Mus musculus: one gene and its partners. The protein of the gene in region 1 purifies or fractionates together with the protein of each later gene. This does not show direct contact. Links are inferred from orthologs where the notes say so. Each region holds a gene or a part of one and is shown on either strand. Other genes may lie near its edges. The genes, in order: Prmt8, Hnrnpu and Ewsr1.

The links.
Region 2: the proteins of Prmt8 (region 1) and Hnrnpu purify together in Homo sapiens (affinity purification with mass spectrometry; 3 studies listed by BioGRID and IntAct, counting the BioPlex papers as one, with this or other methods). This does not show direct contact. The link is inferred for Mus musculus from reciprocal best matches to the Homo sapiens genes PRMT8 and HNRNPU.
Region 3: the proteins of Prmt8 (region 1) and Ewsr1 purify together in Homo sapiens (affinity purification with mass spectrometry; 3 studies listed by BioGRID and IntAct, counting the BioPlex papers as one, with this or other methods). This does not show direct contact. The link is inferred for Mus musculus from reciprocal best matches to the Homo sapiens genes PRMT8 and EWSR1.

What each region holds. Positions count from the first base shown.
Region 1 is NC_000072.6:127,764,905-127,771,262, forward strand, and holds the start of Prmt8 (protein arginine N-methyltransferase 8), read right to left. Parts: upstream 4,256-6,358; 5' UTR 3,844-4,255; coding exon 3,769-3,843; intron 1-3,768. UniProt on the Homo sapiens protein: S-adenosyl-L-methionine-dependent and membrane-associated arginine methyltransferase that can both catalyze the formation of omega-N monomethylarginine (MMA) and asymmetrical dimethylarginine (aDMA) in proteins such as NIFK, myelin basic protein, histone H4, H2A and H2A/H2B dimer.
Region 2 is NC_000067.6:178,326,656-178,332,923, forward strand, and holds the end of Hnrnpu (heterogeneous nuclear ribonucleoprotein U), read right to left. Parts: intron 5,702-6,268; coding exon 5,438-5,701; intron 5,300-5,437; coding exon 5,180-5,299; intron 4,823-5,179; coding exon 4,694-4,822; intron 4,607-4,693; coding exon 4,438-4,606; intron 4,192-4,437; coding exon 3,937-4,191; intron 3,692-3,936; coding exon 3,510-3,691; intron 3,285-3,509; coding exon 3,213-3,284; intron 2,753-3,212; coding exon 2,699-2,752; 3' UTR 79-2,698; downstream 1-78. UniProt on the Homo sapiens protein: DNA- and RNA-binding protein involved in several cellular processes such as nuclear chromatin organization, telomere-length regulation, transcription, mRNA alternative splicing and stability, Xist-mediated transcriptional silencing and mitotic cell progression.
Region 3 is NC_000077.6:5,095,019-5,101,386, reverse strand, and holds the start of Ewsr1 (RNA-binding protein EWS), read left to right. Parts: upstream 1-2,290; 5' UTR 2,291-2,365; coding exon 2,366-2,378; intron 2,379-2,581; exon of another isoform or gene 2,582-3,105; intron 3,106-6,368. UniProt on the Homo sapiens protein: Binds to ssRNA containing the consensus sequence 5'-AGGUAA-3'. Might normally function as a transcriptional repressor. EWS-fusion-proteins (EFPS) may play a role in the tumorigenic process.

The DNA of each region.
Region 1 (6,358 bases):
TAGGGCAAGTATTCAAGGGCCTTGTTTACTATGCTAAGGACACCAGTACCCTGTAGGAAATGAGGTAGTTCCTAAGTTTTCAGAGAGCTGACCTACCACAAGCAGATTTGTCCTTTCAAAAGCTAGCCCTGCAAGGATGGGGAGGCTGGACCAGACATGGCCAGATGCTGGGAGCTAAGGTTCTAGCATGGAGATAAAGGGCCTGCATGTGCGTAGGCTGCAGAGAGTGGGAGTGGAGGCTCTACAGATGTCACAGGAAGCCCCAGCACCACACTGAAGATGTAGCTCAGTTGGTAGAGTTTGCCTAACATTCACAAAACCCTGGGTTTAATCTCCAGCACTGTGTAAATCCCACTGCAGTGGGGTCTCATGCCTAAGCACTCAGAAAGTAGAGTCAGAAAGATAAGGAGCTCAAGGCTTGCCTGGGGTATGGGAGACCCTGTCTCGAAAGAAAAAAGTGGCCCTAGGAGATTCTGGGATGGAAGACAGAGCAGGAAGTGAGGTCGGGGACTGCCCTGATGTTTCCCTACACCATACACAGATTATTGGCCACAAACTGAATCAGCTCATGAACAAGTTTAAGAGACCAAAATCAAAGGGGTGGAAGGTGTACTCAAGCCACAACGCCTCACACAGGAGGCTCCATGCCCTAGTATCTCACCTTGTTCCAGGTCTGAAGATGGTGGTCACAGTATATAGAGTCACAGCCTCAGTCTCAATACTACATGCCTCACCACCACCACTACCACCACTGCTACCACCACCACCACCAGCAGCACCACCACCTCCCTCCCCTGCCTGATAACTGCCATCCTCTCTGCCTCCCCTCCCCACCTTCCCTCCCCACTGCCTTTCCCTTCCAAAGCAATCGTCTCCTCCCACTCGCATGCACTCCCATTCACACATGGCATCTTGCTAGAAATAGCAAGAGTGGAGCAAAGAGCAATGGATTGAAAGTGAGGGCAATCCATACCCCAAGCCCGATTTAACCCGCCAGCTGGCCGGAGTCACTGCCTGACCTCAGGCTACTCTGTGGTCTCCAAGAAAATGGGAAACAAATACTAACCTTCGCTTCTCTCATAGCCTTAGTATGAGCACAGAACACAAGTAGTATGCTACCACCTGCAAGACGCAGGGAAAGATGTAACCGGGCTCTCCAGTCACAACTGTGTTCACTAATTTGTGAGCTCTTTGAGGGCAAAAGCCAGGCCACTAGGGTCTTAGAAACCTACTTTTCCGGGTACAGAGTGAGTACCTGCTAGAGACTGGACAGCAACCGTTGTCATTCCCGCCCCTCCCCCCCCCCGCCCACACACTCCACACATCCACAAGTGTGCTCTTGGTACCCCTAAGATGTGCAGGCAATGCAACCCCCTCAATACCCCACTTTGGAAGCACCACTTTGCTCTTAGCTTATTCCAAAAACAGCCTGCCCGTTCCTGGAGGAAAACCAAGCAGTAGTCACGAGGCCTGTATGCCTCACTGGGCACGTTTGACCAAGTCTGGGTTGCATCCTTTCTCCAAGGAAGTTGCTGAGAGCTGAACCTTCCCATGTTCCGCTTTGATTCATTGTCATCTAAGGGGTCTAAGACCAGCTGGGTTCTCTCTCTCTCTCTCTCTCTCTCTCTCTCTCTCTCTCTCTCTCTCTCTCTCTCTCTCTCTTCCTCCCTCCCTCCCTCCCCACTCCGTCGTCCTCCCCCCCCCCCTCCGCCCCTGCCACCACCGCTTCTACTGCTGTTTTCATTGATGCCTTGAGCAGAGCTGGCATGTGCGACTGCTGAGAAGGGGGAGCTCAGAGCAGCGGGGGAAGCGAGTAAAAATAGCCTGTCGCGCGTCGCTCTGCCTGCTCCGGACGCCTTTAACCCTCACCGAGGTGGAGAGAGCCGCAGCCGCCACTGCACACTGCGGAACGTGGCCCGGGTCTGCACTAGACCCCACACGCCAGTCCGGGTGATTGTGGACGAGGACCCACGAAAACTTTTTTTATTTTTATTTTCTATTTTTTTTTAAGACAAGTGAAGATGAGGTGGGATAGGGAAAAAGCAGGGAAGAGCTATAGCTACTGGGTTGCAGGGACTGCTACAAGCTGGCTGGCCCAACACTTCACCAGTGCGCGGCCTTGAGACTCCAAGCTATTTTTAGAAACCTGTTCCGCGGGTGGGCGATCAGAGGGCGGAGGGGGAGGGGAATGCTGAGCGTCTGGTGCTATTACTCGGTTTCAAAGACTCTGCTCCCAGGTTGGGGTGGGGAAGAGGATGGTCCAAGGAACGACATGCAGAATGGCTTTGCCCTAACTCAAGGAGAAGACATTAACTGCTGTATGCCCCTCATCTTCCAGCCCCAGATCGTGTTTGTTTCAAAATCGACAGTTGCCAGAAGCATGCTGCCTCTAGTGTCCAAGGAATGGGTATTCTTAAGCTTTGCTGCCTATACCGTGAGGCGGGGAATGAGTTGTGACCTCTAGGAAAGAAGGCCGGGAAAGGTCTTCACGTTGTTTTTGCTTTCCCGCAAGGCCTGGACAGTCTCCGCGCCACACCCCCATCTCAGCCCCACGCTGCATATGGGTTACCGTATGTGAAATGTACGGCAGCCCCACCAGACACTGGGCTATTAATAGAGCCCCGGAGTTTGCTCTGTGTCTTTTTCCTGCCACCGAATAAGGGATGATCACACACACGCCCCACTCCACCCCCACCTCGGCGCACAGTTCCTCTGTGAAGGTAAGGGGGCTGCCCATGCCGATCCCCTCCATGACTACAGGTGCCCAAAACCAGGGAAAAATCCCATTGTGATGACAGCTGGGTCAGAGCGAGGCGAAAGAACACACTTGCTCGGGACGCAAAGACCCGCTGGGCTCTCTGCAGCTCAAGGCCAACTCCGGAGTAGAGAAAGGGCAGATACGGGGCGGCCGTAAGGACTGCCGAAGACGGAGGGCAAGAGTATCATTTGCGGAGCTAGAGCGGCCTCCTTAAAAGCTGCTGCGGGACAAGTGGCCGCAGACCGGTTTCGCGCTGCAGCCCAGGGCGCACAACCCCCGCTGCTTGTGCGGGCTAAGCTGCGGCAGGCGCGGGCGCTGTCCCTGGTGCTGAATGGGGCCGCGGTCGGTGCGCCCTCCCAGGGTTCCGCTCTCCCTCGGCGCCTTAAGCACCCTAGGACTGCAGACCTCCGGCCCAGCTGTGGACTGGGGACTGCGGGGGAGGTCAGGTGCAGGTGCTTAGTACTGCCACCAGGTCGGCCCCCTAAGGCCGGGAGCTCTCCGCGGTGTTGCAGGGACCCATAGCTTGGGGACCACCTCGAGCTTGAAGGGTAAAGCCCAGGTAGCGGTGGGAGATAATCGGTGCACTGCAGGGAGCAAACCTGGCCCTAATATAACCCACTCCAGCTCTTCGTAAAGCCGGGATCCGGGATCACTATCGGAATCCTGTGCACAGGGGCAGGGGAGCCGGGCTGCCCAAGGTTTGGGACTTAGGGGAACAGGAAGGGAGCAGAGGGTGGCAGGAGAGGGTGATGGGGCTGAAAATTTAGATTTTCAAGGGGGAAAGGAACTGAGACGTGCACCGTCGCCCCCCACACACACTCCTACACTTCTCTCTCTCTCTCTCTCTCTCTCTCTCTCTCTCTCTCTCTCTCTCTCTCTCTCGGCAGGGACAAGCGGGATGGGGAAAGTTTGGCACCACGGCGTTGGTGGTGGCAGCAAGCAGCGGCGGCACACAGGGGTCCCAGTGGGAGGCAGGGTCGCTGAAAACCCCGGCCCGGTCGCCTCCTTACCTCGGTGCTTTCGACTGCATTCTCCGCCATTTTCCTCCGGAGGAGCAGGCAGCGGGAGGAGTGTTTCATGCCCATAAGAGCCAACAAGGGTTTGGGGATTCGAGATAGTAAAGAACGAGAGACGGCTGATGTGGCTTTAAAAGAGAGCCTAAGAATGCAAGAGGAGGGGGGAAAAAATCCCAGCCAGCCCCTCTCCCGGAGCGTCCTCCGCGACAATCGAGCTCTGTGGAGTCCCTCCTGCGGTCGCCACTTTGTTCACGTTTCCTCGCTCTTCATCTGCCTCGCATCCCTTCGCACACTTGCAAGTTCTGGTCGCGCTCACGACCCCCTCCGCGCCCCTCTCCCCTGCGCGGCGGGCTGGGCGGGAGGGAGGGAGGCGGCCCCGCGGGCTCGCCGGCAGAGGCAGCGGCTCCGAAGTCCGGCAGGCGGGAGGCGGACGGCAACTCTCCCAACTTCTGCCGATCGCTGGGCGAAGCAACACGCGTCCTGCTCGGCGCTCCCGGGGGCTGAGCCGGTGAGTGGGGGCGGGGTGGGAGGTGCGCGGGAGCGAGCGGGTGGCGGGGCGCTGACGGCGGAGACCCCCAGCCCGCCCCCGTGCCCGGGACCGCGGGGTCTGGGGGCCGCCTGCGCTCCGCTGCGCTCCTGGCGCGGCGCACACCTGGCGCGGGGGCTAGGGCTGCGCGCACGCTGCGGGGCCGCGCGCCAGGCTCCGGGAAGCAGGCGTCCACGAGGCTGCTGGAGGGTCTCAGCCCAGTGCAAGTCCTTCTAACGAGGGCAAGCACCGGACAAGACTCAGCCACGGTTACCAAATGTCTACGCCCCTCACCCCTCCCCAGCCCCCCCACCCGGTCGATTCCTGGATCCTTCCTGCGCGGATTACTGTTTGGGGCATGAACAGGGTGGGTGTCTGGATGGGAGGGGGAAGTCCTCAACTCCTTCAACTCTAGGTCCTCTCTATCTAGCTTTTCTTCACCCTCAGGACCCAAGACCAGAAGGCCTTCAAACCCCTCTCAGGAGGACCGGGTTGAAGTGAAGGTGGCTGCCTGAGGTGGCTTGGGAAAACAACCAGGAACAAATCAATAAAAGGGTCCGCGGTCTAGCTCCCCTACCCCTGTCTAGCCTGTCAGCCCCCACTCCCGGGGGGACACACATCTCTCCCCCTCCCCTACAGCCCCTCCCCCACCTTCACCCTCTCCTGACGTCCCTTTTATGGGAGAGAGCCGTGAGGATGTCACGTACCCATTAGGATTCTCTCGATCCTTTTTTAAGGGAGAGTTTGGGCGGCAGCGGGGGGTGTGAATTTTTATACAATGCATTCCTGTCTTCACTTTGAGAGCTTTTTTTCTCTCTTTCGGGCCATCTGTCAGGCATTGAGGGATAGAACAATGGGGGAGGGAGGCCATACTCAGGACTCTGTAGCTGGCTATCTCCGGGAAAGCTGAACCTTCAGGCTTTCTGGCCCACAGGTCAAGGTCAGGGACCGCACAGATGTGCCAGGAGCTTTCTTCCCGCTTCATCTCAGTCCTTAGTTGAGTTATTTAAACCAATCGCCCTGTTTAGTCTGATCATAGCCTTTGATAGCCAAGAAGTGTAAGAGTGACTGTCCTCAACTAACCCAGGTTCATTGAGGAAAAGGGCCAAAACCCAGCTCGGCTCACGGTGATAGATACTTCTATCAGACCAAGATCCTCAGGCAAAGAGAAGAGACATGGCCGTGAGCAGAGGTGAGGAGTAAAAAACGGGAAGAGGAGGGAGATGAGAAGGATTAAAGAAAATATAGCAAGAAGCTTGGGTTAACCGCACTGATAATCCCAAAACAAGAGTAAATTCCCCTCAACCTTCTCAAACCACAGACCTGAATTCGAGTTGGGCATGAATGAGCAGTCTTTGGCAATGCCTGATCCTTCTTCACTCCCATCCTGCCATCCTGCCATCCTGCCACACACAGTATGGAGGAGGGGACATAACTGCATCTAAAAAATGACTTTTACCTCCTGCTTTTCTTCCCCTACTCGTCTTCTCTCAGATAAGGCTCTGAGATGCTGGATCAAAAGAGGCTTAGTACGTATGCAATCAAATAAGACTAGAATAGCAAGATTCCCCACCCACACGTTGGTCCAGTCCTCTTACAGGTAAGGACTCCGGATGAAAGAGAAGGGGGCAATTGTCTAAGGTCCCTCGACAAGCTGCAGGAGCTTCAGTAAACCAGCTCCCCAGCCTCTTGACTTCCAACCCAACCCTGTCCCCACCCCACACTCCTTCTGCTTGTTCATCCATTCTGTGACTAACAGGGGAGGAGGGGAGCTGAAACAGGCTCCCACCGAAATAGGCTGCTGTTGTGCGTGATTATGTTGCTATGAGAACCTCAGTGGGGGTGTTTCCTCAGTTCTCTGTTGAAATCTTTTTACTGTGCTTGGCTTCTCCCCAAGTACAGACACAGCTCCTGTTGGAATGGGAAAGGGACATGGAGAGCTGTGTTTTTACAGCAAGAGTTTGCTATGCCAACTCAAAGGCAGCCTGGGGCACAGAGGTATCTAGGCCACTAAGGTTGCTCTGCAGCGACCTGAGGAAAGCATGGTGACCTATCACA
Region 2 (6,268 bases), on another chromosome or scaffold:
AAAGTAGCTTTAGGTTAAAGTACTGTTGCTAATCTGTCTATGGAAAACAGCTTAAGAATGAAAGCTGGAGTGTAGTTATCTGCTACAAATTTTGTTCACTTTAATAAAAAATATATTACATTTATGTAAAAAAGAAATTAGTTTAAGCTTATTCTACATTTTAAAAAAATCAATTATATTCACATTGATGTACACAGAACTAGTCTTTCACACCCAAGTGCATACTACCTAAAATGCCATTGAAATGTGATTAAAATATTTGCCATTAAAATAGTCTATAGACATTAGTGAGAACGCCTCTTTGCTACTATTAATCTACACCATTTTCTCAGTAACAAAGTTAACTAATTTATTACCTCTTAGGTGCTGATAATAAGTGCTCTACCACTGATCTACAATGGCAGCCACCTTCCCCAGCTTTTGGCTCTGCTGGTACTTAATTACAGAGAGAACACCTCACAATATAGAATATAGCCCAGGCTGCCCTCCAGCTTGTATCTTTTTTAAAAGCCCCTGTGTTGTCATGCCCAGCTTGATTATCAAGTCAATTCTGATCCTATCAATATTTGGGATTCTTTCAAAAACTTAAGCCATTTTTCCCCCTCTGAATGGATTGCCTCTTTTCCATTAAAGAAAACTTTCATGTACAGATGTAACTAGTGAGATCACTTCAGATAGCAAGCTTTCCCTCCCATCCAATTTTTCAGGCAATGCATGTATCATGTTCTACTTTGTCATTTGACCCTTTTTTGTAGCCATGCGTCTCTAGTACTAGGTCTATACAAGATTTTTGAAAGGCACAGATTAAAATATTAGGATAACCACTGAACTGAATTACTCCCAGAGTTAGGAATATATAATCATAATGTTACGTATGTAGGGCAGATACTCATACCAATGGTTTATAGCAGTTAACTAAGCCGAGAAGATACTACTTTGTAGTGTTATTTCTGAGGCAACCTGATTGCAGAAACTAGCCTGTAGTAATTCCTAGAGTATAATAAAGTATTAAAAAAAAAATCTGATTTAAAACAAAGTTCTACAGCAATTAATAATACAGGAAAACCTGAACTTACCAGAAGCAGGCTATAAACACTAACAACTAGACTAAATTCTAATTTTAGTTCTACAGTTTGACTCCTGATTCCTCACTTCACACAGTGAGGCTCCTTTACAAGATTTAAGTGTTCTGTGCAAACCCAATAAAATTACAATTAGGGGATCTAATTTATCACATAGCTAGTTAAGTTAGCAGCATTGTGTAGTAGTGAAATCAATGACTGGCTTGCATGATGGCTTCTAAAAGCATCTGTTCCCAAAGTTTCATGTATTATATGTCTATTATCAGGTGAGGACAGCCACTCACATTTCATAAACATGGTCAACTGAACATTAACTTCTCCCAGCCAGTACCTTTGCCCCTCATAAATGTTAAAAGCAGTCTTGGGGGGAGGGGAAGGGAAGAATTCAACTTTATATTATAAAATCAATCATCAGTATACATTTAAGTTTTTAAAACCTAAATGTTCCGAAGTACAGAGTAAAGAATAAGCTGTCCAGAAAGCACACACTTAAAGTTTCTCCTCTTGGGAGTCATACTATAAAGGGATTTAGACCTTGATGGCGAGAATCCCAAACAAGAGTAAAATGAATTCTTTTTATTGCAAACAAACGTCTAAATTAATTTCTCCACCCACTTTCTTTAGAAAGAAAAAGAAATCAGCAGGCTAAGGAGATACCCATTCAAGAACTGACATGATTAAAAATTAAGATATAAATGGGTGACTCACAATTTCATTAGCTTACAAAGATGGTGGAGTTAACTACTACAAGCACACTAGTAATACAGTATTTGTGGGAGAAGGGCATACAGACATAGCTAACTTCATATAGATCCCATTAGACAACTGGATTTACAACAAGTTTTTTTAATAAGAAATGGGCAAAGCCAGCTTTCTTTTCAGAATCAAAATGCAGAACAAATGGAAAATTTTATGGTATTTAACCTTCACAAGTTTGAGCCTCCACATATAATGCAACCAAGTTTACATTTTTGAACAGCCCTTCTACATACACTCCATCTTCTCAATCTTGGTTCCAAATTTTATCTTCATTCCCAATTATGCCAATTCCATTGTCAAACAGAAAAAAAATAGCCTTCCCGTTTTGTCAGAGATTACCCGTCCACTATTACCCGGCAGGCAGTCTAGAGAGGATGGAGTGTATCATGAGCAGTACAGAATCTTAATGCAATTCATGAGGACCCCTTAGTCCTTCCATGAATCTGGCTGCTAACATTGCTATTTTATTGTGACAATGACTCCCGACTGTTATTCTCTGTGAGAAATGGGGGAGTAAATGCTTAATAAAAGACACCAGGTACAAAGCAACATTTTACTTTTGTTGTGATAAAAAAAAAAGTCACATTTTACAGATAAAATGTAGAACCCTGAAATACTGACACATTCTCTTATCGTGCACAATGCTGAGGTTCTCTTACGATTCACTTTAAAACTGCAATTAAAAATGTACAAAAAAGAAAAGAAAAAAAAAAAAATCAACCCACAAAGCTTCTAAAAAAGGAACCCGCAGGCACTTCCTCTTGTGGAATGTTTAAAAAGTTAGCCTACTAAAGAAAACAGTCGACTTCTTGTGAAGGTTTTGGAGAAATATGTATCAGTTCGTTTTATTTGGGTATTCAATAATATCCTTGGTGATAATGCTGACTCCATGGCTTCTGACCCCAGAATTGCTGTAAGAGAAAATTTTGTTTTTAAAGAAAAAAACATCAATAAGCCACTCAAATTGTTTTTAGGAAATGACAATGATCTAATTCAGAGTAATTGCTGGAAACAAATTTATCACACTTAATTTCTACATCAGATCAGAGACTTAATTTTAATTTACCAATTACCCATATTATTTACCAATACACATTACCAAAGGAAACACAAGACTTAGGGTTAGTTTATGTAATTAAAACTATTAAAAATGACCATGTAGTAAAACAACCATATGTATTAAATATTACTTTATCTAAAGTAATGTTAAAATCCAGCCTATCCATGGTTACAGTAACAATAACACAGTAACAATTTATAGACACCTTGTCCTATTAAAGTATAAAACTCTTCAATTCCTAGGTAAGAACTTCCGTCTCAATCTTGTAAACATAACACATAATTTATGTAAGCATTTAAGAAACTACTTACACCCTGCTGCCACTGATTGTAGCCCTGAGATTGATTTTTGTAGCCACGATTATTTCCTCGTCCTCTGAAGTTCTATGAAAGTTTAAAAAAAAAAAAATCTGTTAAGAGCTCTCAAGCAATGGTTGGCTATTTTTTAGGGAGGGGTAAGCAGAAACCCTTATTCCCCAAGCTCACTGCTGTTATTAATGACCTGAAAAAGCAAAGTCCAATAACTAAATTGTTTCACAACTATGTCAACGCCGCCAGTTAAGACTCCCAACATCCATTCATCTACAACATTTCAGGGCAAATCAATACCTGGTTATAGTTCCCTCTGTTGGGCATTCCACCTCTGTTGTAATTCCCTCTGTTTGAGTAACCACCTCGGCCAGGAAAAACAGGGCCACGTGGGTATGGATAGCCAATTCCACCACTTCCACCGCCACCACCTCTCTGTGGCATGTTGCCTCTCCTATTATATCCACCACGATTCCCAGGAGCTAAATAAATGCACAAAGGGTTTAGTTTAGCTGTCACACATTTAAGGAAGAGTTCATACAGTTATCTCTTATCATTAATGAAAAAGTAAGCAATGCCCAGTTTTAAGTATACCCAATACACTCCCCTCATTGTGTATTAGTCAAACATGGCAGCAAATTATCAAAGAAACTAACTTCCTATTTAACTTAAAAAATAAACTCATTCATTTTCAAATTCCAAATACCAACAGGCAAAATTAACTTGCCTCCTCCTCTGAAATTGCCACCTCGCATATTGAATCCTCCACGGCCTCTATGGCCACCACCTCTGTTGAACTGGTTCTTGCCACTCTTATTCTTATTGCTTTTCTTTGAGCCAGTGTTTTGCTTCTTTTCTGGTGGCAGTGCCTTTTTGCTTTCTTCTTTATATTGCTCCAAAAGCTTTTGGGCTTCCTCTTTCTGAAGTTCAACATAGGTTATTTCATCAAAGCATTCTGCAACCTCTGGAAGGGTGAAGTTTCCTACAGGGAATCAAGTCAAACTTATAAATCAATTATGAACATGTAAATTCTATAAACTTTATCTCTGAATGTGTTTAATTCTTTCAACTTTCAGTTATCTGGTCACGGCCTTCATCACATTCTTTGTATAATAACCATACAAGTTTCTATTTAGCAGATTAATATAATCTCTAAGTGTGAAGATATTTTCTAGGTATAAATCCCCAAACCGTACTTAAGACAGTAAAAATAAAGTGAATTCCTTGCCTTTCATCTTGAGGACAGCATGTTCTGGTAGGTCCTTCCCCTCTACTTCTGCCTTCTTCTGTGTCCTCTGCTTATAGTCTTCATCTTTTGGGCACACTACAACAGCTTTCCGCTGGAAGCCTGCAAACAGGCACATTTTTCTTCTCTGGGCAGCAGCAGACACATTTGTCTTGAGGGGAAAATGTTAAAGACGTTAATGTTACACCTTACCAATTATCAGTTGATTTCTCTCTTTAACTTCAAAGCTACTACTTACCTGATCCAGAATAAAATTTCGCTTCTTACGGGCAGCAATTTCAATAAACTTGCCAAGACACTGTGGGGCTCTCTGCAACAGTGTGTTCAGTTTTCCAGTATCTGCCATTTGCTTCTTAAAACCTGCCACCTAACAAAATATTGTAAAAAGCTTAGAACTACAGGAACCAGGCATCATTTTATAAATACTCAGTTGTATCCTTTCAATAGTAACCAAAAAATACATAGTTTTTGGTACTGCTGTTAATGACTTATGAAAAAGCAGTCACTGGAAGATATAAAAAGTACTCCCAATTTGTTTTAGCAAAAATCATTTCCTCTAAGATATTAAAATAAATGAAAACACAAGCCAACATTAACCCAGGATAATTTCTGACCCTGTTTATTTGTCATAGTGCTGAAGACTAAAGCCAGGGTATAGTGTTTTGCTCGCCCTTTGCTCTACTCCCCACGCCTTCTCAACACTTTCATTTCAATTGTTACTTACCATCATCTTGTCCATAATCGTATTTGTTCCAAGAATGTTGTATTTCCCAGGGTTTTCAGCTGCATGTTTAGTAACCCAGGTAGTTTTTCCAGCTCCTGGCAAGCCAATCATCATTACAACCTACAGTGAGAAAAAGAAGCGCCATCACGACTTTGTCTCTCAGCAGTAAATAGTAACAAATCTATAACCCACTCATTTTTTACCCTTCTCCTAATGTCAACTGCAACACAATCCACACCATCACACAATAAAACTTACCTCACAATCCTTCTTCTCTTCAGGTCCTTTTGGTCCTCTAACTCGGTCCTCTAAGGGGACATTTTGGATAAAAGTACAGTCTTCAGGTATTGGAAAGTATGGCTTTTCCTTTTGACCGAAATTAAATTCAACTGCACAGTTATGGCAGAGAACATGTGGGAATAGTGGCCGGTCAGCAAGAACTTCCTTACTGATCTTAAAGGCAACACCAAGATCTTGTCCATTCTTCGCATAAGAGAGTTCAACTTCATCAGTTTCAAAGTTCTGTTGAATAGAATTTTTAAAAAATCAGATCAGAAGAAAGCAACAGATCCCATTATAGATAGTTTTGAGGCATTACATAGTTGCTGAGATTTGTACTCAGGACCTCTGGAAGAACAGTCAATAATCTTAACTGCTGAGCCATCGCTTCAGCTCTAAAAAAGATCAGTTTTAAACTCCCTGTAAGGTCTCTCAACTCACCAAGACACACATGTTACCATGTTTAGGTTAATGCTAAGAACTAATGGTTATAAACAACAAATCCCAAGAATCAGGCCTTAGATACATATTTTCAGACCAATTTTTTTCCTTTTAAAATGTGTTAATGATCCTTCAAACAACAGTCTTCTATTTTCCCAGTTTCAACTGCTTTTGTGTGTCCAAGGTTCCATGTTAGGCAACTTCCTGTCACTAAAGCTGGAGCTAGTTGAAGCTGCTGCTTCTTCCCTCCCAGATGAATCTCAAGCCTTTACATTAGTGAAAGATATCCAAACTCAGGTCCCCTCACCTTACACACCACAAACCCAACCACTGAGCCTGTCCCAAGCCTCTCTTGTTGTAACTTAGAGC
Region 3 (6,368 bases), on another chromosome or scaffold:
GTCCCTGGGCAAGCGTCCTAATCTGTGAACTGCGGATTCTGATACATTTCCCTTACAGATGGTAAGAAAAAGGATAGAGTGGAGGCCCACAACTTTCTCTTTTTTAAAGCTTTTTTTGGTGTTGCTTTAAACAAATCTCATCAGGTAACCCTATCCACAGCCTGGGATAGAAGATTGTCCTGACTAGGTGTTAAGTGCTGGGTCACAAATCTGCACCATTGCACCTGGTTCAGGCTCCAGCTCTTCCTCAAACCAACCCAAAGCACCACCTGGAGAGATGACTCATGGGAGGCACATAGCTTACAAGTAAAGGCGCAGCAGCTGCTACAAACTCTGACCCCATGGTCGTTCCCTGCCCACCGAGCATAGCTTCTCTCCTGTACTCTCCTCTCACACTGCCTTTCCTCCAGGCCCTCCCACCATTCCTGGGCAGTCCTCTGAGTCTCCTACTGAGCTGATTCAGGGCAGAAAGCGATTCGACTTAGCTTCCTTGTCAAGGCTTTCCCTTGCAGATGCCAAATATGAAAATCTCCTCTGCCTGGCCTTGCCTCCATCCCTCAATAGGCCATCTCCTACTCACTCTGAATTGTCAATGTTCCCTTCCCATATTGTGAATTTTATCCTAATGAGCAAAGTTTGGCTCCCCCCCCCCCCCACTCAAATGGCTTGTCTCCAGACTCAAGGCTGGTGTTCATTGGAAGACATATTAGCATAGTCCCAGGTCCTGCTGGGGTGAACTCCACCCTTTATTTTTGGTACTGGGTTGAAGTTCAGAAAAGCAGGCAGATTTCACCCTTACCTGGAGGCAGGGTCACCTAAAATGAAGCTTCCTCTTGCACCTTCTTACAACCATTCCATCCCTGGGCACTAGGGGACAGGTCCATGGACATAGGGAACTGGGCCTCGAGTCCTCTGGACCAGTCTCTTCTCTTTCTTGGCGATAGGAATGGAAACTAGGGCCTCATACATCATAGGCAAGCCGTAACACTCCTGCAACCATATCTTCAATTAATAAAACGTAACTTGTAAGAATCCAATAATGAATCCAGCTGCTCCTCCTAGAACACAATACACGCCTTTCTCCCCTTCAGATTCCGACCGGCCTCTAGTGAGACACTATGAGTGGCGAACTAACAGACTCGGACGCCTGGATCTCTCACCTGAAGGTGATTTTACATAAAATGGGGAACTGGGGGGCTACACATCGGGCTCCCAGCTCCCTTCCCTGCCTGCCCCGGGCCAGAAGCTCCGGCATTGAAGCCACGCCCATCCTCAGAAGGGTGCGACACGCCTACTTCTCCCACATGGACCCTGGTTTCTTCCGAGTCCTCGCCCGCCATGCTAATGTTTGTCTGTGTCTGTCCACTGTGTCAGTAACTCTCAGAAAAGCAAAACCAAAAACCCCACCAATCGCCAACAATCCGCCTCAGTGTCTTTCTGGAGCCCTTGTCAGAGACCTCAGAGCTATGCATATCACACCCTGCCTACCTTGCAGGGAAGCCAGGAGGACAGAGTGGGAAGGCAAGGACAGTGTGGCGAAGCTTCCGGGCGGTGTACAGAGAGGGGAGGCCCGGGGTCTGGGTCGCATTCAGCTTTGTAACTTTAAGGAAAGAACTCAATTTCGTGGGTTCTGGGTTTTCTGTTGAAACAAGGGGATGGGTTGAAGGACGATCACAGGGCTTCTCAACCCCGACCGTTACTGGGGTCGGGCGCGGCATTCCCGGCCTCCCTCCCAAGCCGACGGCCCTCGGTCCCCTCCCCCGCCCGCTCAGGCCACGCGTCCAGGGGCCTGGGGAGCATGTCCTCCCACCCCCACCCACCCTAGAAAACCGAGCAGGGGGGCCCGCCCGGTAAGTCCGGCCGCCGGTTCCAGGCCGAGCCCTCGGTGCCCGAAACCCGCTGCACGCACACAGAGGCGCGTGATCCCGCCCGCCGATTAGTCAGCAGTTGTTTCAGGCCGGCCGGGATCCCTTCCCCCAGCCCTCCCGCCAGCCTCCGTCTCCCTCCAGGGCAGACTCTTCAGAGACGGTCCCTAGAGCCAGCGGGCGTAACCATTCCGAGCCACCGCGCCTCGCGCCAAGGAGCTCTCGGGTTCGTGGGTAACCCTCGCTCACTGGCGCGCTGGCCCCCGAGGCGCCTTTTTTTTTTAGACCACTCGTCACGTCCGGCTCTTTGGGAGAGGATCGGGTCAACGGTTTCGGGAGCGAAGAGCCGAAGAGCTCCGGTTCGCTCCTCTTCGGCCACCCCCGAGGCCTGGCCCGATGGTAGCGTCCGAGGTTGCGGGTTTCGCGCCTGCGCAGTGCGGCGCCTAGGGGGAACGCGAGAAGGAGACGGACGTTGAGAGAACGAGGAGGAAGGCGAGAAAATGGCGTCCACGGGTAAGCGGAGTGGGATCGCGGTCCCGCCGGCGACAGCTGGGACACCCAGACTGGGAGGCGCTCGTCTCTGGGGGTGGCAGGGATGACTGAGTGAAGTCGCCGAAAGGGGTTGGAGTTCCCGCCGCGGCCCGACGAGCTCGGGGGTGGGGGTGGGGGATCCGCGTTCCCTTCCCCTCCCCCACTAGGCGGGCTGGTTCTGGAACCTTTTGGCGGCCGCGTTGCGCGCGAGGGCCTCGCGGTAGCTGAGGCGTGCAGAGCCCGTCCAGGCCTCCTTTGTGTGGTGGTTGTCGGGGCCGGGTGCTCCGGGTCTCTCGCCACGTGGGCCGGGCCTAGGGCCTCCGAGGGCCCGAAGGGGACCGCGGCTGGGCCTGGAGCCCATCACCCCGAAGGCGCGTGAAGCGAGGTGTCTGATGGCGGCTCGAGAAGCCGTGGCCGGTTTCCCGTGGAACGTCTCCTCCCATCGCTAGCCCCAGGGCAAGTGTTTACTGTGTAGGGACTCAGAAAAACAAACAAAAAGCCGTCGCGAATGTGTAAGCTGAGGGGCGCCGGCTTAAGAGGGGAGCCCCATTATCCCCCAGGCCTGGCCCGGCCCGACCAAGCTGCCCCCTCGGAGGACCTAGTTGGTTCCCCTAAATCTTCGTGCTCCCCACTCAAGAGGCTTCGATTTAATCATGAGTTAACTCCACCTCCTTCCCTACCCAAAAAGCAGTGGCTTCCCAGTGTCCTTTTCTCAGCAACCGGCGCGGGGGATCGGTTGTATAACAAGGTCCGTCTGGATCCGGAGAGGAGACTCTTTTCCAGAAAGAGATTTCTAGCAGCTTTGATCCAGGAGAGGCAGAAAAGCCTCGGCACGCCACGTTTCTGTAGGCCTGCTCGTTAAGCTAGCCGGCTGATTTATTTCTTGGCCCTATTGAGGCCAGGGGAAGAGACCCATAGCGGATTTTGAAAGTCCAGGGCGGGAACTCTAGAATGTGATGGTTATGTTGTGGTCCTTACCGAGAGAATAAGTGTAGCCTAGCCCTCACCTGCAGTTTAGAATACAGTTAACTGGCACAGTGGCGGGTTTTTTGTTTGTTTTTGTTTTTGCTTCTAGCGGAATCTAGGGTCTGGTGATGTGGCCTTGGAGGCAGGAGGAGAAAACAAGTGGGGGTGACAGGAAAAGCTCTGGGTTCTTCATTTGGCTTAGGAAAGCTTCCAGCATCACAATTTGACGACGCAAACGATGTAGTTAGTAAACAGCTTGCTTTTGGTACCAGGCTACCCAAAGTGTCCCTAAGAGAAGACTGAGATACGACTACAGTCCAATATATCCTAGTGGAAAATGGTTTCTTTGGTGGTCCTTTTACCCTTCTCTTAACCTCTAAAGCCCAAGAAGGCAATTGCAGTTTTTCTGCTTGATAGATCATTGCCACTTTTTAGTCATCTTTGTTATCAGAAAATGTTGATAGCACCCTGAACCAAATTTAAGTTGAAAAGTGTGCTCTGCTATACCCACAGTCCTGGCCCTGCTGAGGGGACTTTATTAAGGGCTTTCCTGAAAAACTTAGTTTTAGACTTTTTTTAAAGGGTCGGTGGCGATGCACCGGTGCTGGGAAGGCAGAGGTAGGTGGTCTCTGAGTTTGAGGACAGCCAGGGCTACACAGAGAAATCCTGTCCTAGAAAAAAAATTTTTTTTCTTGAGCCTTTCAGTTCTTAAAATAACTTTTTTTTTTGGTCCCAACAAACTTACCCTTGCTAGCTACAGGAATTATGTAGCCTAAACCTTCCTATTCAGCTTGGCTAATGGCTGCCCTGAAGCAAGCCACTGCCTAAGGGGAGTAATGGTTTCCCTCCTCTGTATCTTGTAGAACAGTAACTATAGAGTGTGTCCAGTAAAGCAGAATTACAGTCTCTAAATAACTACCAGAACAAAAAGTAAAACATTAGCATTCTAGGATGCCCCTACATCATAATCTCTCAGCCTGCTCTGTGTGTGTGTGTGTGTGTGTGTGTGTGTGTGTGTGTGAAGTGTTTACGTATCCGGGCATTTAAAGACTTATTTTTTCAATTGTTAAATTATCTGACCATTGCTTCAGTGTCATGCTTGTAGGTAGATAAACATGGGGGGGGGGTCGCTTTTTCCTTAGCCTACCAAATCCTTTGGCAGCACCCTCGTCTCAAGTGGTTGGCTGTTCTGTATCAGCATTGCCAATTTTACATAACTGCTCTTGTGTAAGTCTTTGTAAACATCAAACTTAATGCCAATGACTCAAAAAGTCGTTTTTACACAGAAACCTCAACAAAATGTAGGTTGCAGTATTTGCTTTGTTGTTTGTTTTTCATATAAAGAATGTGGCAAGTAGCCAGTCATCATCTAATCCTAGATTGGGGAGCGCAGCGTTTGAGGCCAGCTAAAGCTACATAGTGAGACCCTGTCTATAAATAAATAAATAAACAAACAAATAAACGGCAGAAAGGTAGACAAAGGAAGGTAGCAAGTAGGCATGGAGGTACACACCTATAATTTCAACACTAGTTGTAGACAGCCATACGGGGTCTGTAGCAAGTTTGAGGCTAGCCTGGTCTATATAACTAATTAAGGTCAGCCAGCTAAGTAGTTAGATCCTATCTCAGAACCACTACTTCACCACCACAGAAAATGTAGCTTTATTGGAAATGCTTCAGAATTTTGTTAGAGGATTATTTTCTTCATTGTAGATATCTTTTGAACAGTTTACTGATACTATTGGTAATCAGAGCTCTGAATTTAAAAGTGTAGAAGGAAAGTAGTCCCATGAGGTGCAGAAAGGTTGAAAGAGTCGATTTTAAGAGGTGAGTTCAGGCCAGGTGGTGTTGGTGCAGGCCTTTAGTCCCAACACTTGTGGGGCAAAGGCGGGTGTTTCAAAGCCATCCCGATCTACAGAGTGAGTTCCAGGACAGCCAGGGCTGCACCCCGTCTCAGAAAAAGCCAAAGGGGGGGCAGAATGAGTTCAGGAAAGTACTGTTGGCTAGGGGATTGTGAAGCAGACTTTGCATGGCGTATGCCAGAGCCTTCCATGAAGAAAGATGTCAGCTGTTACATTTGGGTGAGGGACTACTTTCTGATTGGAAAAGAAAGGACCCTTTTGTTCTGTCTTAATGACAGTGCTGTCTTTGAACACCAAACAAGATACGTATTCTTGTGGAGAGGAAATAATTGCGTATTTTTTTTAATTCTCTGCATTAAAAAAATGCCCAAAACGTAGGTAGCTTTAATTCCGTGATGTTTTGAAAACATAGGCATTTATTTTCATTACTCAACACCTCCATAGTTCAGATTTAGTTCCTTTTTTTGTTTGTTTTTTTGGTTTTTCGAGACAAGGTTTCTCTGTGTAGCCCTGGCTGTCCTGGAACTCACTTTGTAGACCAGGCTGGCCTTGAACTCAGAAATCCGCCTGCCTCTGCCTCCCGAGTGCTGAGATTAAAGGCATGCGCCAACATGCCCGGCTAGTTCCTTTTTTATTGTTTTTTTTTGAGACAGGGTCTTTTATAGCCCTGTCTGTCCTGGAACTCACTATGTAGACTAGGCTGACCTCAAACTCATAGAGATCCACCTGAGCTCTGCTTGAGTGCAGGGATGAAAGGGGTATGACACCTCACACGGCTGGTTCCTTTTGATATAATATAGGTTTCATATGAGAAGGAAAATTATAGGTAGACTTAGTTACAGAGAAGAAAATTTGTGATTTTTGTTGTTGCTGATGTTGAAATAATTTTTAGGTTTTAAGAAATGGCAATTGTGAACCTAGAGCAATTTTTCCTGTAGGCCTATTAAGTGCTGTTTTCTCTTTGACAGTTTTTGGAATTGTATTAACCTGGTCAGTTTTGTGTACATTATGCTGAAGTTGGAACCAGGGTATCCACACATCCGGTATAGTCAGGAGAATGAGCACATAGACCGACCACTTATATACTCCTGTCCTTGTTGGGTTTTTTGTTTTTTGTTTTTTTTAAAGACTTATTTATTATATG